Callithrix jacchus: one gene and its partners. The protein of the gene in region 2 interacts with the protein of the main gene of each other region in a pairwise test. Links are inferred from orthologs where the notes say so. Each region holds a gene or a part of one and is shown on either strand. Other genes may lie near its edges. The genes, in order: RAB29, TRIM27, CCDC102B, PIMREG, TRIM29, POLE2 and POLR3C.

The links.
Region 1: the proteins of TRIM27 (region 2) and RAB29 interact in binary tests that used the Homo sapiens proteins (3 or more experiments, as listed by UniProt). The two-hybrid records come from large-scale screens. The link is inferred for Callithrix jacchus from reciprocal best matches to the Homo sapiens genes TRIM27 and RAB29.
Region 3: the proteins of TRIM27 (region 2) and CCDC102B interact in binary tests that used the Homo sapiens proteins (3 or more experiments, as listed by UniProt). The two-hybrid records come from large-scale screens. The link is inferred for Callithrix jacchus from reciprocal best matches to the Homo sapiens genes TRIM27 and CCDC102B.
Region 4: the proteins of TRIM27 (region 2) and PIMREG interact in binary tests that used the Homo sapiens proteins (3 or more experiments, as listed by UniProt). The two-hybrid records come from large-scale screens. The link is inferred for Callithrix jacchus from reciprocal best matches to the Homo sapiens genes TRIM27 and PIMREG.
Region 5: the proteins of TRIM27 (region 2) and TRIM29 interact in a two-hybrid assay, tested with the Homo sapiens proteins (2 studies listed by BioGRID and IntAct). The link is inferred for Callithrix jacchus from reciprocal best matches to the Homo sapiens genes TRIM27 and TRIM29.
Region 6: the proteins of TRIM27 (region 2) and POLE2 interact in binary tests that used the Homo sapiens proteins (3 or more experiments, as listed by UniProt). The two-hybrid records come from large-scale screens. The link is inferred for Callithrix jacchus from reciprocal best matches to the Homo sapiens genes TRIM27 and POLE2.
Region 7: the proteins of TRIM27 (region 2) and POLR3C interact in binary tests that used the Homo sapiens proteins (3 or more experiments, as listed by UniProt). The two-hybrid records come from large-scale screens. The link is inferred for Callithrix jacchus from reciprocal best matches to the Homo sapiens genes TRIM27 and POLR3C.

What each region holds. Positions count from the first base shown.
Region 1 is NC_133520.1:33,292,734-33,297,191, forward strand, and holds the start of RAB29 (ras-related protein Rab-7L1), read right to left. Parts: upstream 3,142-4,458; 5' UTR 3,076-3,141; exon of another isoform or gene 2,646-3,075; 5' UTR 2,644-2,645; coding exon 2,520-2,643; intron 2,507-2,519; exon of another isoform or gene 2,299-2,506; intron 1-2,298. UniProt on the Homo sapiens protein: The small GTPases Rab are key regulators in vesicle trafficking. Essential for maintaining the integrity of the endosome-trans-Golgi network structure.
Region 2 is NC_133505.1:2,070,026-2,074,389, reverse strand, and holds the start of TRIM27 (zinc finger protein RFP), read right to left. Parts: upstream 3,054-4,364; 5' UTR 2,769-3,053; coding exon 2,322-2,768; intron 826-2,321; coding exon 730-825; exon of another isoform or gene 1-729. UniProt on the Homo sapiens protein: E3 ubiquitin-protein ligase that mediates ubiquitination of various substrates and thereby plays a role in diffent processes including proliferation, innate immunity, apoptosis, immune response or autophagy.
Region 3 is NC_133514.1:111,379,714-111,384,026, forward strand, and holds the start of CCDC102B (coiled-coil domain-containing protein 102B), read left to right. Parts: upstream 1-1,441; 5' UTR 1,442-1,517; exon of another isoform or gene 1,518-1,798; intron 1,799-1,945; 5' UTR 1,946-2,071; coding exon 2,072-2,089; intron 2,090-4,313. Other genes in the region: protein disulfide-isomerase TMX3, read right to left, coding at 44-50. UniProt on the Homo sapiens protein: During interphase, forms fibers at the proximal ends of centrioles to maintain centrosome cohesion. During mitosis, dissociates from the centrosome following phosphorylation to allow centrosome separation. Contributes to CROCC/rootletin filament formation.
Region 4 is NC_133506.1:107,999,875-108,004,442, reverse strand, and holds the start of PIMREG (protein PIMREG), read right to left. Parts: upstream 3,069-4,568; 5' UTR 3,019-3,068; intron 2,509-3,018; 5' UTR 2,476-2,508; coding exon 2,182-2,475; intron 255-2,181; coding exon 1-254. UniProt on the Homo sapiens protein: During mitosis, may play a role in the control of metaphase-to-anaphase transition.
Region 5 is NC_133511.1:19,784,292-19,788,885, reverse strand, and holds the start of TRIM29 (tripartite motif-containing protein 29), read left to right. Parts: upstream 1-1,791; 5' UTR 1,792-1,874; coding exon 1,875-2,678; intron 2,679-4,594.
Region 6 is NC_133509.1:84,151,020-84,154,881, forward strand, and holds part of POLE2 (DNA polymerase epsilon subunit 2), read right to left. Parts: intron 3,088-3,862; coding exon 2,915-3,087; intron 2,340-2,914; coding exon 2,250-2,339; intron 2,077-2,249; coding exon 2,022-2,076; intron 1,462-2,021; coding exon 1,402-1,461; intron 1,315-1,401; coding exon 1,237-1,314; intron 1-1,236. UniProt on the Homo sapiens protein: Accessory component of the DNA polymerase epsilon complex. Participates in DNA repair and in chromosomal DNA replication.
Region 7 is NC_133519.1:8,270,335-8,273,094, forward strand, and holds part of POLR3C (DNA-directed RNA polymerase III subunit RPC3), read left to right. Parts: intron 1-229; coding exon 230-380; intron 381-1,476; coding exon 1,477-1,578; intron 1,579-1,697; coding exon 1,698-1,747; intron 1,748-2,498; coding exon 2,499-2,648; intron 2,649-2,760. UniProt on the Homo sapiens protein: DNA-dependent RNA polymerase catalyzes the transcription of DNA into RNA using the four ribonucleoside triphosphates as substrates.

The DNA of each region.
Region 1 (4,458 bases), on a different chromosome or scaffold from region 2:
GGTTTTCTCAGGAAAGCGATGATGCGGGAGAAGGGGGAAATGAGATAAGTGTGGTTGCTTTTGTATCATCCACATTCAATTTCACTGTTGGTTTCTAATCAAATTGTATTATGAGAAGAACACACCCTGGGGAACTCTACATCCACACTTTTGCAGGTATTATCTTGGGCAAGAATGGAATAAATGGAAAAGGTCCCAGAGGAGTCCCAGGATGAAGACACTGCATGGATGTTGCTGAATCTACCACCAAGTCTGCAAATGCTGACACTCCTTGAGTTAAGGCTGGGTGAGTATTCTGCGGGGAAAGCTTTTGGATAAGGAGAGAAACAGTAATTACTGAGGTTTGGAAACATTATCTTTCACATCTGTGACAGGAATCAAAGCTAAGGGAAATTTAGAATAAACACTGAAAAAAAATTAGCCAGAGTTAATTATGTTCTTTGCTAAAGGAAAACTATAGCAATTATTAAAAATTAACTATTAATAGGAGGACACTTTTAACTCAAATCTGTGAAATCGGGACCTTATGTTATTTAGGAGTGGGAGGGCTGAGTGGTCAAGATAGAGCGTCTGAAACGTTAAATCTTTAATTTTGCCGGACGTAAATTTCTTTATTCTTTTGCTTTTGAGACAGTGTCTTGCTCTGTTGCCCAGGCTACAGTGCAGTGAGTGGTGTGAACAGGGCTCAATGAAGTCTTGACCTCCTGAGTTGAAGCAATCCTCTCGCCTCAGTTTCTCGAGTAGCTGGGACTACAGTTACTTTTTTCTTTAATTTTTGTAGAGGTGGGGTCTTGCCATGTTTCCCATGGCTGGTCTCAAGTAATCCACCTGCCTCAGCCTCCTAAAGTGCTGGGATTGCAAGTATGAACCACCTCACTGGGCCCTACTGTTTTTTTGTTTTGTTGTTTTGACACAGAGTCTTTGCTCTGTCATCCAGACTGGAGTCCAGTAGTGCGATCTTGGTTCACTGCAACCTCCGCCTCCCGGGTTCAAGAGATTCTCTTGCCTCAGCCTCCAAGTAGCTGGGATTACAGGCGTGTGCCACCATGCCCGACTAATTTTTTTGTACTTTTAGTAGAGATAGGGTTTCACCATGTTGGTCAGTCTGGTCTGGAACTCCTAGCCTCAAATGATCTGCCCACCTTGGCCTCCAAAAGTACTGAGATTACAGGAGTGAACCACTGTGCCCAGCCCTGCTGGGGGTTCTTAAGGAGAATGTTTCAGTTGCAATGTAAATGCTTGTTAATTTCTTTTTAAACTTCCATATGAACACGAGCACACATTTTCAATTTTTCCATTAGTACAAGTTTCCTCCCCTTAAGTTATTTTAACAGAGATAATTTTTTTTTTTGAGACAGAGTTTTGCTCTCAGGCTGGAGTTTTGCAGCCAGGCTGGAGTGCAATGGCGCGATCTCGGCTCACCACAACCTCTGCCTCCTGGGTTCAGGCAATTCTCCTGCCTCAGCCTCCTGAGTAGCTGGGATTACAGGCACGCCCCACCATGCCCAGCTAATTTTTTTGTATGTTTAGTAGAGCCGGGTTTCACCATGTTGACCAGGATGGTCTCGATCTCTTGACCTCGTGATCCACCCGCCTTGGCCTCCCAAAGTGCTGGGATTACAGGCTTGAGCCACCACGCCAGGCCTAAATAAAATTTTAAGTTACTCTTCCCCCATCACCAGCTCTTTCTAGCTAAATACCTTCTAATTAACAATAAGGCAATTCTACCTCTGAAAAAACAGTTGAGTCCAAAGGCTACGCCCGAGAAAGAAATGACGGTGTTCCCTTCCTCCCTACCTTCTCCAGTTTGAGGGGAAAAGTGGTGGGAAGATAGATCAGAGAAGTGGTATATTTCACATTCTTCGAAGACTTCCTTGGTTACCTTTATTTAAGCAATCAACGGACAAAAACAGCTCATCAGCCCTCACGGGCATCTGACTGCGTAGCCAAGGAGCCTGTTTGGGGATTTTGTGTCTTCCATCCCACCCACAGCCCCATAACTGAGCTAAAGTTCTTCCGACCACTTCTGCTTCCTGCGTTCTCCCCCAGAAGCCAGGTTAAACACCTTGCGGTTCCTTCCTCAACAGAGAGGGGCAGGACAACAGCCCCAGACTGCAGCTAACCAGGAGGCCCTACAGAGGAGAGGATCTCAGCTGCTTCTGCTGACTGGAGAGATTTGCCCCTGACAGCTGAAAGGCTGAGGCAGGAGACTTGCGTTCACAGTGAGCTCGCAATAAACAGCAATTGCTCATCCTCAGCCTCCCTTCCCTATTCTCATCGTCACTCCTTAGCTCTTACCTTTCTCCAGGCAGTAGGTTCAGGTTAGGAAAATCGAACTGGGGAAACCCAAGAGAGGCGTGTAAACCAAATACCCAACAATTACTCCATCCAGATTCCCAGACACTACTTCCTGGCCCGAAGGACCCAACAACCGACTGCAAATCCCCATCCCACTTGGGTCCCCAGCTCGAGTCCGCGGTCGGGGCCTCTTCCGACTCCTCCCCCCAGAGACGTCTCACCTCCCACCGTGGACTTGTAGTGTTTGCTGAAGCTGTCCTGGGAATATCGCTGCACCAGCGACGTCTTGCCCACTGCGGCGTCCCCCACCACCAGCACTTTGAACAGGTGGTCGCGGCTGCCCATGGCTAGCGGAGTGTGCGTTTTAGAGAGGCGGAAAGTGGGAAGTAGCTTGTTTTAACCCCTTTGGCTCCGGACCCTCTTCAAACTGAAGTGAGGCATTCCCACCCACCGCCTGTGAGGGCTGCTCTGACGAGAAAGCAAAAAAGGAAACTTTGCACTCAACCTATGTGCGCTTCCTCCCCGGGCAGCCACAACCTGGGTGGGGCGCAGGGCGCGAGCTCCGTGCCCCGGCTGTTCGCACCTTCCCCCCTACCCCCCTACCCGACTGCCGAGAAACGGGACCAGGCGCTGCGGAACCTCACCCACCGGGACTTCCCCGGAGCGGCTCCAAGCCAGCAACTGAATCCCAGTCAGCTCATTACACCACTGGGGCCAGATGATGAGGACCCTCCCCTTGCTGCACAAATCAAATTGTGAGGAAAAAGCAGCCGGCACCTTGATTCCCTTGACCCCCCTCCCGCGCCTCTCTCGCCTTCCTCCGCAAGCGTCACGTGCAGGGTTGCCTGGAGCACTACATTTCCCAACTATCCTCGCGGTAGAGAGAACTAGCCGAGTGCAGAGGCTTACCCGCGAAGCCTCCTAGGAAATGTAGTGTATTCATTTTTTTTGTTTTAAACCAACCTACACAATGTTTCAGGGCTTCAAACTCCTTCAACAGTTCGGAATCTTATTTTGAAACGGTTCTGGGTCAGTAAAGATCCCTTAAGAGATTTGTGCAACGTGATCTCACTGGCCTGAATCTGTCCCCAGACAGTTTTCTCCTGTCTTTAAAGGTTTTGCGTAGTTAAGATTAAAACTTATTTCATTAATAAAAGCCCAAGCATCATAGATAATGCTCCAAGTGAAGTCCATTTCCTATTCCTTCAAATAGACAGACAAGCCCAGGACCTCGTGAAATTAATCATATTTTCCGTATGAACGTGCCCAATACCAGGCAAGATCAGGGAAATTTGACCCAAGAGACCATTCCTTGGAAAAACCTATGCCAAAAGTTACAGCATTTAATATCCAGCAATAACAATAAAGATAGACAGAAAACAGAAGACAGTCCCCATTCATACTTCTACAATGCCTGTTCTAACCATGCTATTCATGTATCATTTGAGCTAGAAGCTAATTGAAATACACTGGGAATCGCTGATTTGTTGTGGCTGTTGTTAACAGATCATCATAAAACTAGGGTTTGACAAATAATTCTAATTTCTCAGCCTGTAACTTTACTGACCTGCCTGTCATTTAGGTAGGAGTTGGCAGGACATGAGCTCAATGGCAAGCAAAGAGAGTTCCATTTTCTATACTTTTTCTAGGAATTGAGGAAGAGAACCAGCAAGGCCATGTGAACAGCCCAGGACCAGACACTATGGAGTCTTGCTTAGGTCTCTTGATAGAGAGGCTATCACTTATGTTCTGTGGGGAAAGAGCATGAGCATGGTCCACAATATATTTTGCCCAGAATGTTTGTTGCCCAGGCACAGGAGGTTAGGCCAGGCTACTCACCTTTAAGGATCCAGTTTTCTCTGTTGCTATTTGCTTTGACATAGCTGACCACTCCTTGACATTTGTTTCCCATATGCCTTCTAGGACACTGTTCTTTCTTTTTCATCCTCCTACTTCTCTGATGATTATCTTTTTCTCTGAGGTTTCTCTCCATCCCATTTCCCTCTAAGTGTTTCCTAAAGCTTGATTCTTGGTCTCTGAGACAATCATTCTACAAACTCTTGAGTGAATTGTCCTTGGTGTGAAAGATCTATCTTCACTTTATTTGTTCTTTATCTTCGATCAGTGATATTCAGCTTCCCAAAAGATGCCTTCACCTGG
Region 2 (4,364 bases):
AGGTGGATCACTTCAGGTTAGGAGTTCAAGACCAGCCTGGTCAACATGGTGGAACCCCATCTCTATTAGAAATACAAAAATTAGCTGGGTGTGTTGGTGCACACCTGTAGCCCCTGCTCCCTGGGAGGCTGAGGTGGGAGAATTGCTTGAACTGGGAGGCAGAGGTTGCAGTGAGCCGAAACCTTGCCATTGCACTGGTGACAGTGTGAGGCCCTGTCTCAAAAAAAAAAAAAAAAAAAAAAAAAAAAAAAAATCCTAAATACCTCTATCATGAATTAACACATCAGCCACTTGTCAAGGCCTTGAGGCTGGAAGAAGAGAACAGAGTAAAAACTCCACAATCAAGGCACTGTCAAGGAGAATAACCCAGAGAGAAGCAACAGTGGGCCTTATACAGGACGTCTGCAGAATGGTAACAAAGGGAGCTGACTGTACCCAATAAAGTTATCTATGTCAGTTTTGCCAAGAATCAACCGTGGTCTATGCAGTTAGCAGGTTAAGCTTTATTGACAGGTCTGGTTTCCAGGGGTTCCAAACTAGGCTCCTCCATCCTTTCCCCAAAAGTAAGGGAATCTCTCAGTTCTCAGGGTGAGATCCCCCGCCATGTGCGGTTGATCCACCTCTACCTACAAGTTCTGGATGACTTGCTGGAGAAGTTTAAGGGAAGTAACAGCTCTACAGAAGAGGGGAGCACCAGCAGAAGCGACTGTGAATTCGGACAACCCTTACCAAGAGTTCGGCTCGTGCCTGTTCCCCCTGGGCCCGACGTCTCTTCTTTAAATCTTTCACTCTTTTAAGGTGGTCCAGCTGGTTCTGAATCTGCTCCTGAGAAAAGCAAAACAGATGGCAGTTCAAAATTAAGTAGACCTTAGCATCAGCATGGTCATCGAGACGGAATCTCACTCTGTCATCCAGGCTGGAGTGCAGTGGCGCAATCTCAGCTCACTGCAACCTCCACCTCAAAGGTTCAAGCGATTCTCCTGCCTCAGCCTCCCGAGTAGCTGGGACTACAGGCACGTGCCACCATACCCAGCTAATATCTGTACTTTGAGTACAGATGGTTTCCCCAAGTCTGTCAGGCAAGTCTCAAATTCCCGATCTTGTGATCTGTCTGCCTCAGCCTCCCAAAGTGCTGGGATTACAGGTGTGAGCCACCTCACCCAATAGCATGGTCATTCTTATCACAGATGGAGTCCACACACCTGATGCCAAGTCCTGTCTGGTCCTGTCCTCAGGCCACAGTGCCACCCACAAGATTAAGACCCAGGGCACAGGGGCCATCAAGCCTCGCCTCTGGCATTTTGTGTCTATCTAAGCAGCCTGTGGCTTCAACCACTCAGCTACTGCGTCAGGACTATTTGTGTCTATCTTAAACAATGAGTCATCTACCTGTCCCTGGTCGGATATTGCATGACTTAGCGGAAATGTGACTGGAGCAGGAGGCTGAGAGTTGTGTGGTACTGGAGCTTTTCCTCACAGGCATACTGCGAAGGTGACTTATTTTCCTCAGGTGTGACATGGGCAAACACCATCTTCCCAACCTGCTCAAGATGTATCACCAGTGAGTGAAATAATATAGCTGAAAGGTCCATTAATGTTAAGGGATTACACATGAATGTACTCCCATTAAACAGGGACATAATTGTGTATGCATTACTGAAGCCCTCAAGATACAAATAATTGTGTCATGGACTCCTTGAAGGGCGCCTTACAAGTGTTTTATTTGGAACACTTTGTCTGCACGTTACTGTTTGTTTAGCTGTGCCGGTTAGCAGAGGGCTCTGAGCGTCCTGTGATTCCACGTTCTTCCTCATGACTGTGTTATCTCCTGGGTCCTAGAGTAGTTAAACGACTTACTCAAGCACCAAAGAGCTGTTATTTTCCGTGAGCTTCTAGAGCCGGGCAGACTGAACGAAAGTGCTAGAGAAAATGCTTCTACACTAAGGAATGGCCGTGAGTCAGTGAACGTCTGAGCGCGTTTTGTTGCGAGCCGGTGGGAGCGGAGCGTGTCCCCAGCTTGCGGATGTGCGCGGGTTGTATGCGCTTCTTTCATTCTGTCAAAAGGTCTCCGTGTACAACGCGCCCGCGAGGCAGGAAACTCGGGGGCACACGGAGCGAGGAGAGTGGGGGTGGGGGGACTTGTGGCTTCTTCGCCAGCCACAGGTTTTCCTCCAGATCCGAGCGCGGAGGCTCCGGGGCGCACGGGGAGGAAATGACGGCTGCGAACCAGCCCCACGTCCGGCTCAGCCATTTTCTGGGCGGAAAAGGGACGCCCCGGGCTCTCCCCCTCCCTTTGTCCGCCGCCCGCCCCGCCAGCTCACCTTGAAGCCCTCCACGGCCTCCTCGAGCGGCAGCACGCTGTGTCCGCGGTGCTCGCGGGAGCGGTCGCACACCACGCAGATGGGCGTCTGGTCCTGCTCGCAGTACAGCTTCAGCGGCTCGCGGTGCTTCTCGCACGCGCCCATCTCCCCGCCCGGGCCCACCGGCCGCTCGGAGCGCAGCTGCTTCACCAGCTGGGTGACGTTGGCCAGGTGGCGGTTGGGCCGCAGGTGCCGCTGCGGGAAGGTCTCCCGGCACTGCGGGCACGACACGTTGGTCTCCGCCGCGCCCCAGCAGCGCGCCAGGCACGCGCCGCAGATGTTGTGTCCGCAGTCGAGCATCATGGGCTCGGAGAAGTACTGCAGGCACACGGGGCAGGTGGTCTCCTGCTGCAGGCACTCGGCCACGCTCGCGGACGCCATGGCGGGGCCTGCGGGGCGCACGGGCATGGGCCCCGACCGAGCTCCGCGCCGCGCCCAACTCTCCCGCGCTCTCCGGTCGCCGTTCCCGGGAGGCGCGGGGCGGGCGGAGGGCGGCGCCTCCCGGGCCCGGATCCAGACGCGCCCGCGCCGCGAAGACTCGAGGTGGCCGCGCCGCTCCCCGCGCCGGGGCCCCCGATGAAGGCGCGAACACGCTCCGGGGCAGGGCCGGGTCGCCGAGGGGCAGAAGCCCAGGGGCAGGCGCGCAAGACAACGTGGCCGCGTCCGAAGCGGGTCCCGGCGGCCGCGCAGACCCCACCCCGGCGCGAGCGGAAGAGGCGGCTCGGCGGGCGGGGCTTGGCCCGCGCTCCCAGTGAGAGGCTAGATTTCGTGGCCTCGGGGCCTGGGATTTTCTTCTCGGAAAGGCCGAGGAGGCTCTGCCGCGGTCCCTGGCCCGGTCGCGCCGAAGCTCCAGCCTAGGGGTCGGGGCCCGAGAGCCGGCGCTGTCTCCGGGCGCGGCGCCGACCGGGTCTCCTGGCCACGCGCTCCGGGCCTATAGGCTTCCGCGGCTGCCGGGCCGGGCCCCGAGTCTTTGTTCGGTTTCCTTTTGGTGCCTGGGTCCCAGCCCTGCAGAAGAAAGCAGGCTTTGTGTGGATGCCGAGGAACGAACGGAGACATCTGGCCTCCCCCGGAGTCTGGAGGATGAGGGTTGCGGACTAGCCCACCTGAGACGTGGGGCCTTTTATTAAGCAGCCCCATTTGTAGGCACCTGCAGTTTCGTTTAGATATCAGACGGTAACGTTTCTGTGTTGCAATAACAAGCCCAGTTCTGCTACTTCTCTCCTGTGCTCAGGCAAGTTGGTTTACCATTCATTTACCTCAGTTTCTCCCGTGTGAAATGGGGATAATTGTACCGCAGTAAGAAGTACATTTCCTTACATCTTTTACTTTTTGTACCATAGGGTTGTTTATCCATTAAAATAGTAATAAAATGCCCACTACATAGGGTTGTTGTGCTGAGTAGCAACTACAAATTGCTTGCTCCTTTCTGAGGCATCGACCCAGGGTCTTGGAGGCCGCAGACCGCCAGCATTTTTTTTTTTTTTGAGACGGAGTTTCGCTCTTGTTACCCAGGCTGGAGTGCAATGGCGCGATCTCGGCTCACCGCAACCTCCGCCTCCTGGGTTCAGGCAATTCTCCTGCCTCAGCCTCCTGAGTAGCTGGGATTACAGGCACGCGCCACCATGCCCAGCTAATTTTTGTGTTTTTAGTAGAGACGGGGTTTCACCATGTTGACCAGGATGGTCTCGATTTCTTGACCTCGTGATCCACCCGCCTCGGCCTCCCAAAGTGCTGGGATTATGGGCGTGAGCCACCGCGCCCGGCCCCCGCCAGCATTTTTATGTTACGTTCTTATCCCTTACTGGCGTTTCCTAGTTTTCTTTGAAATTTTTCTCAAAATTATCCTGCTGTCTGAGCAAGACAGGCTTCTGCTTCCAGATGATCACTTTATTTTTATTTTTTCAAAGTGAAAGTAAGTTTATTATTATTATTATTATTATTTTTGAGACAGAGTTTCACTTGTTACCCAGACTGGAGTGCAATGGCACGATCTCGGCTCACTGC
Region 3 (4,313 bases), on a different chromosome or scaffold from region 2:
ACAAAGTTAAAACAATATTTTAAGTACATATATGTATACTCACGATTCATCTAAATCTTCTACAGCTCCTTTACAGACGACCATATCAAGTAAAACAACTGAAGAAAAGAAAAAGACAAAATGTACACAATAAATGCTGATTATTTGGCTCATACTGCATAAGCTTAGTCATCTTTGAAGTGTTTTTTGACCTTTTGCAACCTACCAAAAAATTCATCACTGATGCATTCCACGGTACAAATGATGCAAAAGCAGAAGTAGTTCATCCATTTAATAAACATCTAGTCTGTATGCAACCATATCATGACCGGCCAGGTTCTAGTAAGCCCATAAATCTAATAAACACAGAGTTCCTTTTTCCTACGTATTTTAACTCTCACCTTACTTTTCCTTTTTACCATCCTGTCTTTTTGGAATACAGGCAGACAGCATTCCTCTATATTTCTTTTGTTTTAGTAGCAATGATCTCTTCAGTAAAAATTACAAATGCCATTCAAAATATTTCCCCTGAAATAGACGGCTAGAACAAATCAAAGTCGAGCTGCAACTCTAATACTTAATACAGGGCATTGCCTGACACAGAATGGGCTCTTAAAGGTTGCTAAGTGAGCGGACCCCAGTGAGAACGAAGGCACCCAGGGCTGAAGAGAGGGAGCTGAGAACAGCGGACACACACTGAGTGTTTCACACCGCACAATCCCGGTGGCCTGACCCTGATCTGAGCCCTGGTGGTAAAAAGCCTTAAACGTGACAAGACTCAGAACCTAAAGCCAAGGCAAGATCTGGCGGTTAAGCTGGGACGGCAGCATCCTTCTTGCCCATCAAAGGAGTGAGCTTTATTGAAACTTCCTGCCACAATGAAGAAAACACAGACACAAGGAAGCGCGCCCTTCCCGCGCCCGGCACTGGCCCCGCACAGGGGCAAGGGAAAGACCCCCAGGTATCCACTCCGTCAGGGCCAGGCAGGTCGGCGTGGCGGGGCGGCAGGACTCTGCGGGACCGTGCGAGCGTCTCCGCGGACCCCACAGGCCTCGCCTCAGCCCCGGGCCCAATCCCGGCCCCACGGCGGGCCAGGTCCCAAGAGCCTGCCGGCGTCGCGACCTCTGCTCGATCATTACCTGTGGCGCAGAGCCGCAGGGCGGCCCGACACCTCCAGGCTGCCATGCTAGCCTGGGAGAGCTGCAGAAGCTGACTCTGTGCAATAGAGAGAAAAGATACCGGTGTCCGCTGCCTTCCCGCCAGGAAAGGGAAGCGGAGCTGACCCAGAGCGGAAGAGAAGCTCCGCTCAGAATACGGGGGCGGGGCAGGCCGGCCTCCGTTAAGCTCCCAGGACCCCGCCGGTCTCCGTCTCTGAGTATGCGCGGAGTGCGGCGCATGCGCCGGGAGGGCAGCGTCTGCGCTGTCGTGTGCTTCAGCATCCTTTGCGCCCTCGGCCCCTCCTGAGGAGCGTGGGAACCCAGCGTGCGGGCTTTATTCGGGAAAGCGGTGGTTGTTCACGGGGGCACGTTTCCGGAAAGGTGAATACTGGAGAAAGTTAGGTTGCAGGCGAGGTAGACTCCCACGACGCACTTACGGGATGAATATTGGCACATCATTTGCTTGCTGCTCCCGTGCAGTGAGTGCACCTGTGCGTTTTAATGCTGGATCAAATTTGTGGAAAGAGGCGCGCCTGAAGACTGGATTGCTGAGCTGCGCGCCACTCTGTGTTTTTCCAAAGCGTTTTTGAAATCGTCTTTCAACCTGTTTGCATAAAGGGACATCTCTTAAATGCAGCAAGCTTTAATGCACTTTTGCCAAAGTAAGGATTGCCTCTTTAAAAACTTTCTCTTGAAACTTGAGAACATAAAGTTAGGCTTAGGATTTTTTATGACTTTTCTGATTACTTTGGAATTAAATAAAATAGTATGAAATATTCATATTGCTACCTGTTTTTTTTTTTCTACAGGACAATGATTTGTAAAACCCATATTTCTTTTATATGAGGTTACTGCAGCAGTCGCTACTTCTGAATTAGATGAAATTTTTATGGGACGTAAGGTACCAGAGGATTTAGATCAAATTTTGAAAACCTATGAGAACAACAGAAAGGGTAAGTTATGATGTCAGCCGGTTCACCTTAGGTTCAAAATTCCAACAGGCGGAAATGTTCTAAAACATTGTTATTCCTAGTGACTAGAAGATTAAATTACACTCTAATTGAGAGCAAGCCTTAAATGTCACCCCTTTTGGGCATACAGCATGGTATCCAGTGCAAGCCCTCTGCAGATTCAATTTTTCTTCCTTTCTTTTTTTTTTTTTTTTTTTTTAAAGAAAAAGACTAAAACATAAGGGGACTGTTGAAGCGACGGGAATGTTCTCTCAATGGTGGTGAAACAGCTTTATAATAGTACCATGGACTTGATACTCTTCTACAGAAGCTTTTCTACTCTCTTGGCAGTATCTCTGAAAGACCCATATTCAGTTTGTTTTTCCATTCTAATGTATTTCAAAGTTCTCTGTCTTCCACAGCATGCAAAATAAAATAATTTCTTTGCATATTTGCATTACAGTTTAAGTTAGCATGTGGAGAACAACAAAAACCAGTTAACCTAGATCTGTGCTCTTCAATAGTGTAGCCACTAACCACCTGTGGCTATTGAGCTTTTGAAACATGCCGTGTCATGAAGTAACTGAATATTTAATTTTAATTTTAGGAAATAAAAAAACTGACACTCGATTCAGTTATTGGAAAGTTTTTTTAATATGATTGGAACAACTGAGATATTTGAATCTACTTTTTCAACTGTAAATTTTATGAAATCTAAAAACTGATCATTTCCCAGGTGTGGGTGGCTCTTAACTGTTTGCCAGCACTTTGGGAGGCTGAGGCAGGAGGATTGGTTGAGGTCAGGGATCCGAAACCAGCTTGGGCAACACAGTGAGACCCCGTCTGTACAAAAAGTTTAAAAATTAGCCAGGTGTGGTGGCACACACCTGTGGTCCCAACTACTCCAGAGGCTGAGGTGGGAGGATCAATTGGGCCAGGGAGGTTGAGGTTGCAGTGAGCTGTGATTGTGCCACTGCATTCCAGCCTGGCAACAGAGCTAGACCATGTTTCTATAAAATAAATACCAATTAACGTATTTCTGATGAAATTAGGGAGGTTGTAAGGAGGTATAGTATAAATGTAAAATATACACTGGATTTGGAAGGCAGTATAAAACTGTTAAATGTCTCAGTATTTTTGTATTGATTATATGTTGTAATGCCTATAGCTTAGCTATATCTTAGATATATTGAGTTAATAAAATAAATTATTAGAATTAATTTCACCTGTTTTTATATTTCACTGTGTTTCCAAGAAAATTTATAATGACATATGTGCTTTGCATGATATTTTCATTGCAGGCAATGTGAAAATGTTCAAAATTATGCATTAATGTGAAAATGATTTAATAAACCAATAGACTTTTTAGGCCTTTTGTTCAGAGAACATGCTAAATTTCCATATGCTAAAACATATTCAGTGTTCAAAAATTTAAGTGTTTTTTTCCTGCTTATCTACCTCAAGTGGTGATCACTTTTTTTGTTATTTAAAAGGTTCTACTATTTTGACAAGATCTTTAAAAAGACTTTCAGATAAGCTACACTTGTACAGATACATGCCTTATATATTTTGCCTACATATGGCTGTAGTCTAAATGTGTATCGCAAATTGCATATGTTGAAACTTCATTGCCAATATGATAATATTAAGAGATTGGGCCATTTGTGCATGATTTAATCATGAGGTGGAACGCTCATGAATGTGATTAGAGACCTAATAAAAGAGACCAAAGGGATTATCTTAGTCCCTTTTCCCCTTCAACCTTAAGCCATATGAAGACACAAGAAGAAGGTACCATCCTTGGAAGCAGAGAGCAAACCCTTATCAGACATCAAACCTGCTGACTCCTTGATGTGCAGCCTCCAGAACTTTAAGAAATAAATGTTTATTATTTATAACTTATCAAGTCTGTGCTATTTTGTTACAGAGCATCAACAGGCTAAGTAAGACACATGTGCTTTCCAAAAGTCATATACACAGGTGTCTTGTTTATGGTAGGACTGTTTGCAATTGTGAAAAGCTAAACAATTCAAATCTGTAAAAGTAGAATAGATAAATTGTGTTGTTATCCTGTAGTAAAGTACTATATAGTAATGAGAATGAATGAACTTTTGTATGGAGAACTGTGTGGTTGCAAATCATAAACTAAATGTTGAACAGAAGAAGCCAGAAACTGAAGAAAGATACTATATGATTTTATTTACGTAAGCTCAAAAGCAGGCAAATT
Region 4 (4,568 bases), on a different chromosome or scaffold from region 2:
AAGGCTGCCTCCCGCCTCGACCGCCGTAACGGGCGGGCACATGAGCCCATCTGGGCAGAGAGGCAGTGATGCGCCTTCTCCCAGGGGCCTGAGGGTGAGTAGGCAGGGGTGGCTCCAGACAGCCGGGTGCTCTTCTGGCTCAAGCTGTGAGTTGGGGATCCACTACCCTTCTGTGCTCCTCTCTTCCTCCTCCTGGCCTTCACCTGGGTCTCCACCAGCCACTTGGTGCCACTTTGGCAGGACTCCTGGATTCTCTGGAATAGGCAAATGGAAATGTTAGCACAGACAAAACCAAGGGTGAGGCTGGGCGGCGGTGGCTCATGCCTTTAATCCCAGCACTTTGGGAGGCCAAGGCGGGCAGATCACTGGAGGTCAGGAGTTGGAGACCAGCCTGGCCAATGTGGTAAAACACTATCTCTACTAAAAATACAAAAAAATTAGCTGGGCATGTTGGCGGGCTGTATCCAAGAACCTGTAATCCCAGAATCCCTTGAACCCAGGAGGCAGAGGTTGCAGTGTTGCAGTGAACTGAGATCACGCCACTGCACTCCAGCCTGGGCGACAAAGTGAGACCCTGTCTTGAAAAAGCAAAAAACAAGGGTGAGCTACCACCACCCCTAGACCCAACAAGTGTCCTGTAAATACAGGCTGCTGTTAGTCTCCAGGGTGAGGGATGTGAATGACTCCTCGGGAAAGGACTCCATGGCAGGGATCCAGCTCAGAGCTTTTGGATATGACAGCAGCAGTCAGCAGCAGGATGACCTGCCCTAGTGCATGGAGCCTGTTTGTCTAACTCTCCTTCCAGATACAGATTGACCCAACGACTGTGGCGGGGGCGGGGCAGAGAAGAGCAGGCCAGCCTGCCTACCACCCCCTGCATACCAGGAGAGCATTTGGGTGGATCACGACGCAGTTAGGAGATCAAGACCAGCCTAGCTAACATGGTGAAACCCCATCTCTACTAAAAATACAAAAAAATTAGCCAGGAATGGTGGCACACATCTATAAGCTCAGCTACTTGGGAGACTGAGGCAGGAGAATCACTTGAACCCGGAAGGCGGAGGTTGCAGCAAGCCGAGATCACGCCACTGCACTCCAGCCTGGGCAACAGAGCGAGACTCCATCTCAAAAAATAAAAAAAAAGTTTCCAAATAAGGACTAACATTTGGCTCAGAGAGCTCTCTGCAGAGGGTCTAGAAACAGCCACCCTCTCCGCTCATCTTTGGAATTCCCAGTGAGACATCGAGGAGAAACCTCTGCAGTCTCCAGTCCTCTCACTGAAGGTCCATTCATCCTAATGGCTTCTGTCCTTTCTAAGTGACCCCTCTCTACCTCCAGCTCTGGGTTGAAAGATGCATCCCTTAAAGGGCCCATAGACACTTACAGCCAATATAAGGATGTCTTCCTGCCAGCACCTCTCATTTCACATTAAATCCCCTCTAATCAACCTTCTAGGCAGTTCCCGAAGTTTATCCCCTGCAAGTCCAGACCCTTAGGTCCCCCTTCAGGAGCTTCTCTGCTTCCATTCCCTTCTCCATTATGTAGCTAAAGGGCAAATTCTAACATGCTAATTAGACCAGACTTTCCATTGTTTTAGAATCCTATGGACTCCCACTCCTGATCACTCCCGGGAGAGTCTAAGCTCCTTTATATCCTTTCTCCCTGCTCTACCTTGCCCTGTGTCCTTTGCTCATTCCCACACTAAAATTCTGGCTCTCCTCAGGGGTCCATGGCTGAGTGGGCAATCTTGTTTTTCCTCAGCTCCTCCTGCTCCAGGCCTGGACTTGAACTATTTCCACTGCCTTAAATACCACTTGACCTTTGGCTTCCCTGGGTGAACTCTGGAGGCACCTCCTCTGGGAAGCCTTCACCAACTAAGCTTTCGTTTGGTGAGCCCTTGCTATTGGCCACTTGCTTGCAATTTCCTATCACATACAGCTCTTATCACCTGGTAGTGTGAGCATCTGTTTCCTCCAAGACATGCTTTCATTCATTCATTCAACTATTTGTTGAGCACCTATACATGCCAGGAACTATTTGGGGTGCTAGGGAAACAGCAGTGAACTAACCAAAGTCCCTGTCTTCATGGAGTCTATATTTTTGGAGGCTCTTTGAAGGCAGGAACTGTCTGGCACCAAGGAAACCCTTCATAAAAAAGATGGTTAGTATTGTCGGTATTACCTGGGACATTGCACCCAAGGCACTCTTAGCTGAGCGAGCTGCTGCCTGGAGGCCCTGCTGCCCTGGCTCTGGGGTTTCCAGACGTTTCCAGGAGGGGCCTGGGCGGAGGTTGAGGTTGACGGCTTTCAGGGGCAGCCTCCTTTGGAACTGTCTGCACAGGGACCCCAGGGCCCCGGAGGAGGTCTCCTGATGGCCGGCCACAGGCTGCAGCTCCTTGCTGTCCTCCAGCTGCTCTTGGTGCTGGAGAGATCTCCGGCGCACGGAGGTCCCCATGCTCTGCCACCGAGAAGCCATCTGCCAGGCCAAGTCTTTTCTGCCCACTACACCCTGGGGCGGAGGGCAAAGAGCAGGTCAGCAAGGCATTCCGCATCCCCATTCCCAGGCCCCACAGAGACCCTGGGCACAGGGGAGGAGATGGGATGCAGCAGGGTGGTGGGGAAGTTTGCAAGTGTGGGTGCAGAAAGGAAGATGCTTCCTGGAAGAGGGGTCTCAGGTCAGCAGGATTTCTGCTGTCCAGCACTTTAAGTTTCCAAAACAGCTGTCCTTTCATCCCAACCTCCTTCCTCTCTCTGCCTCAGGCAAGGAGGGGAGGCAGGATCAGGACACTCCAGAATCGAGCCTCAGCGCCGGGCCCAGGACACGATTACCATCTCCTTCACCAGCTCGGCCAGACCCAACGCACCACCGCCCAGACCCCGGCCTTCCCACCAGACGGCCCCTCGCCCTATTCCGATCCGACGCTTGAGGTACCCAGACGCACCCCCACGCCGTGCATGTCCGAACCTGAGGTCCTCCTGCTCTGAGCAGAAGCCCCACCACGGTCCCGCCCGCACTCACCAGACACCAACGCTGATCACACCCGAGCACGGCTGCTTCTCGCCCACTGCAGCCGATTTGAAACTCTGCGCGGCTCCGCCCCGGCCCGTCCTCCCAGCTGATTGGCTCCGTCCCCGTCCCCGCCGCCGGGCCGGGCATCCAATTGGCTCCCTCTCTAGCGGCTGCAGATGCTGCGCTCGGATTGGCCCAGGCGTCCCCATTCATTGCTCCGGCCCCCGCCCGGCCTCCAGCCTCGTGGCTCCTGGCTTTGTATCCCGCGTCCAGCCTTCGCGGGCCCAGCCCCCGCCCCCGCCCATCGCACGCCGGATCCCCTCCCAGGAGCGCGCAAAAGTCCAGGCTGCTCTGACCCATGGGGTGGAGGCGGAGGTCCAGCCACCGAGACCTCCTGGCTCAGGCTCCAGGCCCCGCAGCGCCAACCCGCCAAGGGGCCTGGCTTTTCCTTCTTGCTCAGTGGTTCTTTCAGAAAGAGCCAGGCGCTGGCAGCGCGGAGCCCTGGGTTTTCCAGAGACATTTTCTTTCAAATTTCCCTCCTGACCCTCCCTTCCTGTGACAAGACACTGCCCCTCTCGGAGTTCCCCATACTCGCCGTCCACACTCCGCCCCCCTAGAAAACGCGTCCTGGAAGTGGGGATAGACCAGAGGATACCAGTCTGCCCTCCTCCCGCCCACCCTGGCTCTCTGCCCGCGCCTTGCCTCTGGCATCCCTCCCTCCCTCCAGCGGAATGCCTGTCTCTCCTCTCCTTAGCATCCAAACAAAACAAGCCATTAGAAAGCTCTCTCCAACCCATCCTACTCCTTTCGGTGACCTCAAAGCAGCGCTGCCCACTCCCCCGGTTAGTTTCTTTGTTACTTCTCCCGCACAAGAGACTGAGATGATGGTTCCTTGAGGCTCTGTCTTCAACCCTCTTCGTTTCTGGGTGGTCTTACCCACTTTGACGTCAGTGATTTCCCCCCAAAGGATGATGATAAGGATGATGTGTATATGACACTTAGTATGCACAGGTCCTGGTGTTTCAGTTTATTAACTCATCTGACCCTCTGTTATGGTTTGACCATGTCCCTCAAATTGCAAATGTTGGAAATATAATGCCCAAATTCATATATGGGTGGCATTTTTTAGACATATAAATTGTTACTTATTCAAATTATACAGCACTGAAAAATAAGTGAATTGTAACCAGATCACTCTTATTTAGCTGTAACTCTGTATCTTTTAACAAATCTCTCCCATTCCTTCCTCCCACCTACCATTCCCAACTTAGGTGAATATCAGAAATATCATGTTAGATTTGAAAAAAAAGCAATATGCAGAGTATGACACCGTGTAAGTCAAAAGCAAAAAACTAAACAATATGGTTTAGGAATATACAGACACATTTGTGGACAAAGGTATTATGGAAAGCAAAATTATGTAAGCACCAAAATAAAATAGGTAGTCATTTTTGGAAGGGTGACAGGAGAAGAGGATGTATTGAGGGAAGGGCTCAAAGGACTTCAAAGGCAATGTTCCATTTTGTAGACTGGGTGGTAGCCACATGGATGTTTATTTT
Region 5 (4,594 bases), on a different chromosome or scaffold from region 2:
GAGGGGCATGTCCCCATCCAGCATGCCAGGACAGGACTTCCCTCCCTCCTTCTCCCTCCATACCTCAGGCAAGAGCCCAGAGAAATTGGGTCTGGCATTTTGAGAAAATGTTCCCCTCCCCAGAAGGCCCGATGAGCTCTTAGCCAATTCACCAGTGAGTTCACACAAGACAGGGCTCCTTTGGGGCCACAGACAGAGACCTCAAGTAAGAGGGGAATCCCCGTCATAAAGCCAGCACTCCCCATGCCAACACCACCCCACATACATCCCCTCAGAACTCAGCTGCTCTGTGAGCTGGGCTTGTCTCTGCCCTCTTTCCCAGGGGCTGTTTTTTACAAAGGATTACCTTTGTTAAAGGTCTGGTCAGCCAAAGGGGCGGGGGCTTCCTGACTTGACCTGGATTTGAGGTGAAGGACGGGAAACCCACTCCCCTCCACATAGCCCAGAACCTGCCATGCCAGCCTCACCAACTGTCTTCTCTGCCCCACCCAGCCTGGCCCTGGAGAGGCATGCCCTTTCCTTGGGGGTTTGGAGGCTTCCCAGGATGAGGCCAGTGGGTCAGAGCCCAGAAGTGACTTTCGGGGCATATCCTACAAGAGCTGAGGGTCCCTGGTGTTCTGCAGGGGCCAGGGAGGGGAAGGGGATAGCATTTGTTTTCCTCACTTTTCTTCCTGAGGTCTGTATTTATATGATAGTCATATTTGAACCGGTGACTTCTGAGATTATCTGAATCCCACACTTCACTGGCCTCTTTTTGGAGGACGTTGCCTGTGGCCTGGCCCAGAGAGGATGGGCAGATGTTTTCTGAGTCACACAGAAGGGCAAGTGTGGAGACAGGTGAGTCAAGTGTTTGGGCCCTGAGAACCCAACCACCTGGCCTGGCATTGCTTGGATTCCCTTATTCCCGTGCCTCAGTCCTTTGAATCCATGAAGGGTCTGGCCTGCTCTGATAGCAATAATCTAAGGTCTACATGTATCTTATTAGGGCCACTGGGATAGGTCAGACTCTCAGAAGCCATCTTCTGGTGAGATATTCAGGTAACTCCATGACCTCCCAGCTGCAGAAGGGACTTTGGCATCTCAAAGGCTTAGGGTTCAAATCCCAGCTCTGCCACTTGACTTAGGCAGTGAGTTATCTTCTTAAAGCCTCGGTTTTCTCATCTATTAAAAAGGGGTAATTGAACAGGTTTTAGGGATGCTCGAATGAGGTCATATATATTAAGTACCTAGGAATGTGCCTGGAGGTTGTCAAGTAGGGTTCAGTAACCAGTAGCCAAATCAAACGGAACCCATCCTCCCTGCTTGTGGTGAAAAGCAGCTCCACAGTCCCAGGGTGGACCATCTTTCTTCTGAAACTCAGGCCCGCAAATTACAAGGCTATTTGACTTGTGTGACCCAGTTAACAGCCCTGTGCCCCGTAGGCCTCTGCAGACACCTCATCTTCTGCCCCAGGGGCCTCTGGGCTCAGTGAAGCCTGCCCACCTGTGAAGACAGAGGCTCCCCGCTCCCCCGATGAGAAGCAAGTGCGTCAGAGGGAAGCAGCCCAACTGGTTGCTGAGTTGTGGAAAATAATTAAGCTGGGGGAGAAAAAAACACTTCTTTTAAAAATCAGGTTAGGGATGACTGTACAGGGCGTGGCTCCCGTGTAATTATCTGCTCTGCTGGCTGCCGGGGCTGCCTGCTTCTCCCTGGGCCCGTTGTGTCAGGCTTGTACCTGCTGCTCCTCCCCTCCACCTCCTTCCCCTCCTCCTCCCCACAGGTGTGTCTCTGGGCCCTGCGGCTGCCTGCCCCACTCCCTGCCGAGACACCCGCCAGCAAGGTCACCTACCCTGAACCCCAGCAAGCCTGAAACAGATCAGCTGAGCCCCCCTGCGATGGAAGCTGCTGATGCCTCCAGGAGCAACGGGTCGAGCCCGGAAGCCAGGGATGCTCGGAGCCCGTCGGGTCCCAATGGCAGCCTGGAGAATGGCACCAAGGCCGACGGCAAGGATGCCAAGACCACCAACGGGCACAGCGGGGAGGCAGCCGAGGGCAAGAGCTTGGGCAGTGCCCTGAAGCCAGGGGAAGGGAGGAGCGCCCTGTTCGCGGGCAATGAGTGGCGGCGACCCATTATCCAGTTTGTCGAGTCGGGCGACGACAAGAACTCCAACTACTTCAGCATGGACTCGTTGGAAGGCAAGAGGTCACCGTACGCAGGGCTCCAGCTGGGGGCCGCCAAGAAGCCGCCCGTCACCTTTGCCGAAAAAGGCGAGCTGCGCAAGTCCATTTTCTCGGAGCCGCGGAAGCCCTCAGTGTCCATCGTGGAGCCCGGGGAGGCGCGGCGGAACAGCTACCCCCGGGCAGACACGGGCCTTTTCTCCCCGGCCAAGTCCAGCTCCGAGGAGGTGCTGTGCGACTCCTGCATTGGCAACAAGCAGAAGGCGGTCAAGTCCTGCCTGGTGTGCCAGGCCTCCTTCTGCGAGCTGCACCTCAAGCCCCACCTGGAGGGCGCCGCCTTCCGAGACCACCAGCTGCTGGAGCCCATCCGGGACTTCGAGGCCCGCAAGTGTCCCATGCATGGCAAGACTATGGAGCTCTTCTGCCAGACTGACCAGACCTGCATCTGCTACCTCTGCATGTTCCAGGAGCACAAGAATCACAGCACCGTGACAGTGGAGGAGGCCAAGGCCGAGAAAGAGGTGCGTGCTGGGCCCCTCCTGCCCCTCCTGGCCTCTCCCCTCACCCTGACCCTCCTACCTTATCTTCTCCAATGGGGCTTCCTGGTGTTTGGGGTTTAAACCTCTACTGTCCTTGGCTCTTTTAGTAAACATTTATTTCCCTTCATGCCCCCTGTTGCCCCTAACCCCAGCTGGGGATCAGAGGTGGCTCTCCAATCCCCTAAGGTCTCAGGAGACAGGGGTATTTTCTAGATGAGCAGATGGAGACTCAGAAAAGATTGGGGGCCTGATCAAAGTCATAGGATAAATTCAAGTTGGGTCAGAGAGTAAGACCCAATGGCACATAACTCACTCCTGGGCTCTGTGCCTGGCTGGGTGTTCCTTCTCCTTCTCCTTCTCCTCCTCCCTTCTCCTTCTCCTTTTCCTTCTCACTTCTTCTCTTTCTTCTCCTCTCCCTCCTCTTCCTTCCCCCCCCCCCCGCTTCTTCTCTGTCTCCTTCCTCTTATTCTTATTTTTTCTCTTTTTTTCTTTCCCTCCCTCCCCTTCCCTCCCCCTCCCTCCCTCCCTCCCTCCCTCCCTCCCTTCCTTCCTTCCTTCTTTCTTTTCTTTCTTTTTGGCTTTAAAGAAGAGACAATTCCTCCAACCTGAGTGGGATTGGCTCCTGAGGAATGGATTGTAGGTGAGTAAAGATACCAGAAGGAGAGAATTTTGGGGCCCACCAAAATGTCCTTTCTGCTGTTTTGCAGTTTTTATTTGTGCTACAGTGGCTGCTTGTTCTAGCGGATCCCCAGCTGGTCTCTTGACTTCTCCACAGCCTCCTTTATCCGTCTCTCAGCTGGGCCCCGCGTTTCGCGTGTGTGGTTGGGTGTGGACACACCTATTCCTATAGCTGGACACTGTTGGGGAGGTTTGGAGTTTGTGTGTGGATGGTGTGTACATTTACAGCTAACCCTGACTTAGGATGGTTCGATTTATGTTGGTGTGAAAGTGCTATGCTTTCAGTACAGTATTCCATAAAATCCAACACTTTATTACAAAATAGGCTTCGTAGTAGAAAATTTTGCTAAACTGTAGGCTAATGCAATTGCTCTGAACATGTTTAAGGTAAGCTACGTTAAGCTATGATGCTTGGTAGTCTAGGGTTATTAAATGCATTTTTGACCTATCACATTTTCAACTTACAATGGGTTTATTGGGAAATAACCCCATCAGAAGTTGAGGAGCTGCATATGTGTGTATTTTATGTGCACGTGGGTGTTTTTGTGCCTTTGTGGATGTTTGCCTGTATTTGTCTATGTGATATGTAAGTGTGTTTGCATGAGTTTGGTGTATGTGACTGTGCATGCACTTCTATGGGAAGGAGCAGAGGCGAGTGCAGGCTTGTGGATGTAGCATACCTGGGGAAGGTGATTTGGACAGAGACCCCAGCTGTGGCCACTGCCCTGTGCCCCACAGATGAGGGGGTCACTCTACCCTAAGGTACATAATTTTCTGGTGTGGCCTTCCAGGGGGCAAACCTTCCTGGCCTTTAAAGCAGTGGACTCCGCTTTTCTGAAGAGCTTCTGCACACCGCAGATCTGAACAGCGCAGGACTCCTCCTTGCCCAGCCTTCCTGATCAGGGGGAGCTGCTCCTTTAATCCTCTCTCCCTTCATCTCTCACCCACACCCTGCCCATCTGGACAGAAAGGGGGGAGGTAGAGAGGGGAACAGATGTACAGATCCCTTCCTGAAGCCTTGTTTGGCCCAGGAAGACGATGTTTCCAGCTTCTCCCATCTTCTGACCCCAGCGTGGCCTCAAGCTTTGTTGGGAGACAAAGATGGGACAGGGGCCTTGAAACTCATTCTTAGAGAGCTTTGCTGTGAGGTTATGCAGAACAAGGGGCCGTCCTCCTCATCACAGCAGCTGAGAAACTGCAGAGCCTCAGACAAGGTTTTA
Region 6 (3,862 bases), on a different chromosome or scaffold from region 2:
TAACAAGAGCGAAACTCCGTCTCAAAAAAAAAAAAAAAGAAAGAAATAAAGTGCACAGTAAGTGTAATATGCTTGAATCATCCCAAAATCACCCCCACCCCCTTGGGGTCTGTGGGAAAACTGTCTCCCGTAAAACCAGTCCTTGGCACCAAAAAGGTTGAGGACCACTGGGGTAGAAGGTCGTGGAGGTGGAGGTGTAGAGAGGTAGCACATTCTGGATGTAATCTGAAGTTAATAGGACTTCCTGAAAAACTTTATGTGAGAGAAACCCCAAAGTTTTTGGCCTGAACAAGTGGAATAATTATTGTTCAGGCCATGAAGATGCCATGAACTAAGATGGGGAAGTCTACAGACGAGGTTAAGGGCACTGGTGGGGAGGAAGATCAGGAGTTCACTTAAGTTAGGGTGGTGATAAGTAGGCAACTGGATACCTGAGTCTGGAGTTTGGAAGGAAGGTTGAGGTGGAAATATAAATGTGAGAGGTGTCAATACACAGATGATACTTAAAGCCATAGGACACTAGAGAAGGCCAGCAAAGGAGTGAATGTAGGCAGAAAAGAGAGGCGAACCAAGGCTGACTCTTATAGTATTCCCACAGTAAGAGTTTACGATTACAATGAGCAATACCAACAGTAAATAAGTAATCTTTGTATTCTTCCTTTGTAACTTTTCTTAAAGGATGTCTAATAAGAATATCTATTTTTAAATCTCTTTCCATTATTCAAGCTTATGAATTCATTACCAATAAATTAAATATAGTTAAAATATTTTCAAAGTTTTGAGAAACCTCCAATATAGAATAAATACAAAAAATAATTTTTTTGTATTTATTCTATAATAGTCAAAATTCAGAGACAGATTTTAGGAATCAAGTTAGTTTTTGTTTGTTTTGGTTTTTTGAGACAGGGTCTCGCTCTGTCACCCAGGCTGGAATGAAGTAGTGCATTCTGAGCTCACTGCAGCCTCTCCACCTACCAGGATCAAGCAATCCTCTCACCTCAACCTCTTGAGTCGCTGGGACCACAGGTGTGTGCCACCATGCCCAGCTAATTTTTGTATTTTGTAGAGACGGGGTTTCACTATGTTGCCCAGGCTGGTCTCAGAACTCCTGAGCTCAAGCGATCTGCCTGCCTCAGCCTCCCAAAGTGCTGGGATTATAAGCATGAGCCACCGCACCTGGCTGAGTTAATTTTTAAATGAAAGGAAAAATGTGTAACACAAAATACTAATTCTTACCTGCAAGGATTAGTAGTAAAAACTGAAAATGGTACCCTTTGTCTGAATTCATTAGTGATGCTTTCAGCAAGTGGTGGCCTAAAAAACCAATTTATGTGATATGGTTTATCTCTTTAAATTTTACAGAATTTTCTATACTGTTGCAAAAATTTGAACAAAACTTACCTTGGTAAGATGGAACCAAATCCAGGATCCTCTGGACCAGATACAAACACAAAACGACTACTGTAGCAAAATTCAACAGAATTCATTTTAAAGTATTATTGTAACACTATCCAAGGGCTTAAAAACAGTTTATTCCCTTTGTTTTCACTTTAAAATTTAAAAAGTTTAAATTTCATGCATTATAATAAACGAACTATTAAATCTCCAGACCAACACTGTTTAGTAATATGACAGCAAAGTTCTGTATCTGTACTGCCCAACTGAACACTTGAATTGTGGCTAGCATAGCCGATGGACTGAATTTTATATTTTAGTTAACTTTAATTAAACTTCAAAGAGACATGTGGCCAGTGACTATCATATTGGAGAGTGAAGCTCTAGACCCTTGGAGTAATGTCACAAAGAAATTCCAAATTATGGCTGAAATTATCTCTATCTCTTTCAGTACTTTTCATTATAAATCTCTAGTACCATGTACAATGTGAGGATAACTTTATCTCTTAGCTCTTTTAATTTTCTCAACTTTATCTTTCTTAGTTTTATAATAATTGCTGATAAAACAAAATTCACTTTTTTAAAGCAAAACTGTGAAAAAAATATATAGTGGTAGAGATCATTACCTTTGGTGAATATCTGGGTATTCACATATTATATCTGCCAAAGTTTTTAGGGAATCTAAAATTTTAAAAGAGTATTGTATTAAATTTGCATAGAATGCCATAAAAATTATATTTGATTAGATACAACTCTGTATATGCTGAATGAAATTAAAATATTATGGATAATTTCTTATTACTTTAGTTTATATGACTATAGAAACACTTCTTATTAAATTAGACCCTTAATACCTTTCAAAGCTTGAACTTGATTTTTTCCATATGGTGCAGATGAAAAATTACCACACAGAATAAAACAGGTTGGAGGTGCTGGTGAATAACCTAAAGAATAAAAGAGTAAAAGAACAATACTTTTCTAATCTACAAATCAAGTTAAAAACCCCTTAACCATGAATTTTTAATAAAAATTTATTATTTTAATGAAAATAACATTTTCATAACATTAAAGTAATAGAAATAATAGTACCCAATTATTGAGTACTTACTATAGGCCAGGCCCTGCACTGGCTTAATTCATCCTCAGAACGTCCATATAATCTGAGACTTGGGTTAAGTAACCTGCCCAAGGTAATAGGCTCGCACTTAAACCCAGGTTTGTTTTTGCTTTTGTTTAAAGATGGGGTCTCACTATGTTGGCCCACTGGTCTTGAACTTCAGGACTGATTCTTATTTATCATGACTATAAACACACACACACACACACACACACACAGGTTTTTCTCAATGTAAAAATTTTGGTCTTTAAAATAAAATCTAATTTAAATTATATCATTGCTAACCCAGTGTAGTTTTTTTTTAAAATAGAATACTCAAAAAGATAAATGTAAAAAAAGAACTTAGTTTTAAGACATGAACCCTCATAAGAGTTCACGAAAGAAAAAAAAAATAAGACCTACCAGAAAACATTATGCGAAGTTTTTCCAGTACTTCCACTTGGTCCAACCAAACATCAGATAAAAACACAAACATAGCATCTTTATTCTCCTCTTCTAGTTGTTTTAGTTTTGCAGAAGTCTTCACAGATGTATTAGAAGGCCCTCCAAAAAAATTAATACTTCCATAGTATGCCCTAGATAATTATAACATAATTAGCTTCTGTATACAACTAGAGATATTTTTCTAATAATTTTATAAATTTAGCTCCTTTTATCTAATGAAGTTATTTTCCAGTGTAAATAGGTGAAAATGTACTCTTTGTAACACTTTAAAAGTACAAGGTTATCGAAATATTCTAAAATAAGAAGCAATACAGAAGCAATAAATAAAATATTTAATAGGCTATATCTGTTTCTTAAAACTAACTAAAGCAAACATTAAAATAATAATTTCCTATGTTGCTGAAAGTAGGAGAAATGAGTACACCATTTGAACGATATCTAATAGAAACCTCAAAATATGTGTTAACCATCTATCCAAGCAATTCCACTTCTGGAATGATTAATCCTAAGAAATTAAGGATATACACAGAGACTAACCTATATTCCAGAACTGTGAAAAAATTATTCGACAGTTCCTTCAAAGCTCGGTTTTATTCAATGCTCACCAAGCAAGGGTCAGTAGGAAAGTGGATAATATACACACTCCCAGCCTCCACCACTTCTGCCCACTCTACACTGACATCTTGCAGTTCCCAGCTTAAATGCAAATACTCCAGAGGCCTCCTCTGAGGATCCCAAAAGAGGTTAGATTTCCCCATTATACACTCTTGTAGGAACCTGCACTTCTCCTTTGCAGATCTTATCAAATTTGTAATCAGGCCAGGTGGGTGGCTCACACCTGTAATCCCAGCACTTCGGGAAAAGCTAAAAAGCTCTTATTTCCTGGTGACATCTTAGCTGTCAAAA
Region 7 (2,760 bases), on a different chromosome or scaffold from region 2:
TCCCTAAAGCCTTTGCTTACAAATGTAGGAACTATGGCACTCAGATGAGGTCAGCAGTTGGTGATGACTTACAGTTACCAACCTGTGGAGCTGTGGAAGAGTTTTCTTATTACTGTTCCTCTCTGGTCCTGGTTCCACACATGGGATAGAACACCGCCCCATCTATGACTGGGAACTAAAGCTACTCTCCTGTGTTGGCATGCCATTTGCTTTCTTCATTCTTTTCCAGATTTGGGTCTCGCTGTGCTAGAATATTCCGTCTAGTTTTGCAGAAGAAACACCTGGAGCAGAAGCAAGTGGAAGACTTTGCAATGATTCCTGCAAAGGAGGCAAAGGATATGCTATATAAGATGCTCTCAGAAAATTTTATATCACTCCAGGTAACCAAGGGTGTAACAACTGCCAACCAGACAGGCTAGCCTAGGGTGAGAGAAGCTTCTCCGGCAAACATACTGAATCCCAAGCAAACTCTATATCCAGCTCTGAGACAGAAAACATGATTCACAGAGATGTAGCAAGCACTTAGAGGAAGATGTGGAGCCTTAATTGCCCTAGTAAGAAAGAGGCAGCTGGGCACAATGGCTCACGCCTAGAATCCCAGCACTTTGGGAGGCCGAGCCGGGCAGATCACTTGATGTCAGGAGTTCGAGACCAGCCTGGCCTACATGGTAAAACCCTGTCTCTACTAAAATACAAAACAATTAGCTGGGGGTGGTGTCACGTGCCTATAATCCCAGATGCTTGGGAGGCTGAGGCAGGAAGGAGAATCTCTTGAACCCAAGAGGCAGAGGTCGCAGTGAGCTGAGATTGTGCCACTGCACGCCAGCCTGGGCAATAAAGCAAGACTCTGTATTAAAAAAAAAAAAAAAAAAAAAGGTTTTTTGTAAAGATCATATAGAATTTACCTGGTACACAGATTTTTCAGTAAATATTAGTTACCTTCCCTTTCTTCTCCATTCAGGATGCTGACAGTCAAATGGGAAAAAAAGAAAAACAGGGAAGCCCAGCTCTCCGTTTAATTAATTACGACATAAACCACAGAGACTGGGCTGGGCACACCTGTAATCCCAGCACTTTGGGAAGCCAAGGCAGGAAGATCACTTAAGCCCAGGAATTCAAGACCAGCCTGGGTAATATAGTGAGACCATGTCTCCTCCCCCGCCAAAAAAATTAAAAAATTAGTTGAGCATGGTGGCGCATGCCTGTAGTTACAGCTGCTCAGGATACTGAGGTGGGAGGATTGCTTGAGTCCCAGGTAGAAGTTGCAGTGAGCCAAGATCGCACTGCCACATTCCATCCTGGGTAACAGCAAGACCCAGTCTCAAAGTAAATAAATAAACACAGGTACTGAATGACTAGGAAACATGAAAATGTAAGTGAAAAAGAGAGTTGAGTAAGTCCAGATGGAATGAGTGTTTACCTTGCCAGTTCCAAAACAATATAATTTGTTACTTTTTTTTTCTATTGGACAAATAGGAAATTCCCAAAACACCAGACCATGCCCCATCCAGGACCTTCTATTTATATACTGTGAACATCCTGTCAGCTGCCCGAATGTTGCTGCACAGGTGCTACAAGGTAACCCAGTCTGCTGCCTCCACATGGACAAGTCCCCCTCATATGCCCATTTCACCCATTTTACCTGAGCTGCTGAAATTGAACTATGTGCATTTCTTGTCTGTCTTCTCTTTCCTCAGAGCATAGCCAACTTGATAGAAAGGAGGCAATTTGAAACCAAAGAGAACAAGTAAGTAACATTTTCAGTTGAGTTATTTACATTTTTTAAGGTCAACGGCCTGAGGGGAAATTTCCTATAGAAACAGGAACCAATGAAGGCTGGGCCAGGTGCAGTGGCTCATGCCTGTAATCCCAGCACTTTGGGAGGCTGAGGCAGATGGATCACTTGAGGTCAGGAGTTCAAGACCAGCCCGGCCAACATGGTGAAATCCTATCTCTACTAAGAATACAAAAATTAGCTGGGCATGGTCATGGGCCCCTGTAGTCCCAGCTACTCTGGAGTCTGAGGCAGGAGAATTGCTTAAACTCAGTGAGTGGAGGTTGCAGTGAGCCACTCCATGCCACTGCACTCCAGCCTGGGTGACAGAGTGTGACTCCATCTCAAAAAAAAAAAAAAAATTCTGAGGAATAGGAAACAATGGAGATAGCAACCAGTGTCCTTGCATTGAATCACTGGCTTAGATTAGTATAAATCATGCATAGGCTACACTTTTCTAATACGCTCCCAATGAAATAGTTTTTTCAGATTAAATTTATGAGAAATGTACAGAAGCACCAAACTTTAAGTGCAAATGAGAGGCAGTAAGAGTTTCACGAGTGAAGTTATATTTCCAAATAAGTTTCTAGAAAATGTCCTTAGAAGGTGACATCTACTTTGACCAGGAAAATGGTAAAAGAGTGATGGGTTGTGCCTCAGAGATAAATGCTAAGAGAATCTCCAAGGTTAGGAAACATGTCTCAGAGTTGTGTTTGTTTGACAGGCGTCTACTAGAAAAATCTCAGAGGGTAGAGGCCATCATCGCATCTATGCAGGCTACAGGTGCAGAGGAGGCACAGTTACAAGAAATAGAGGAGATGATCACAGCTCCTGAACGTCAGCAGCTAGAGACCCTGAAACGTAATGTCAACAAGTAAGCGCCATAAACTTCAGCCCTACATTTCAAAATACCATCCAAAACTCCTTTTTCACGTCCTGTAAGCCTCCAACTTAGCACGAGCAAACCTAAACTGTCTTCTCCAGCT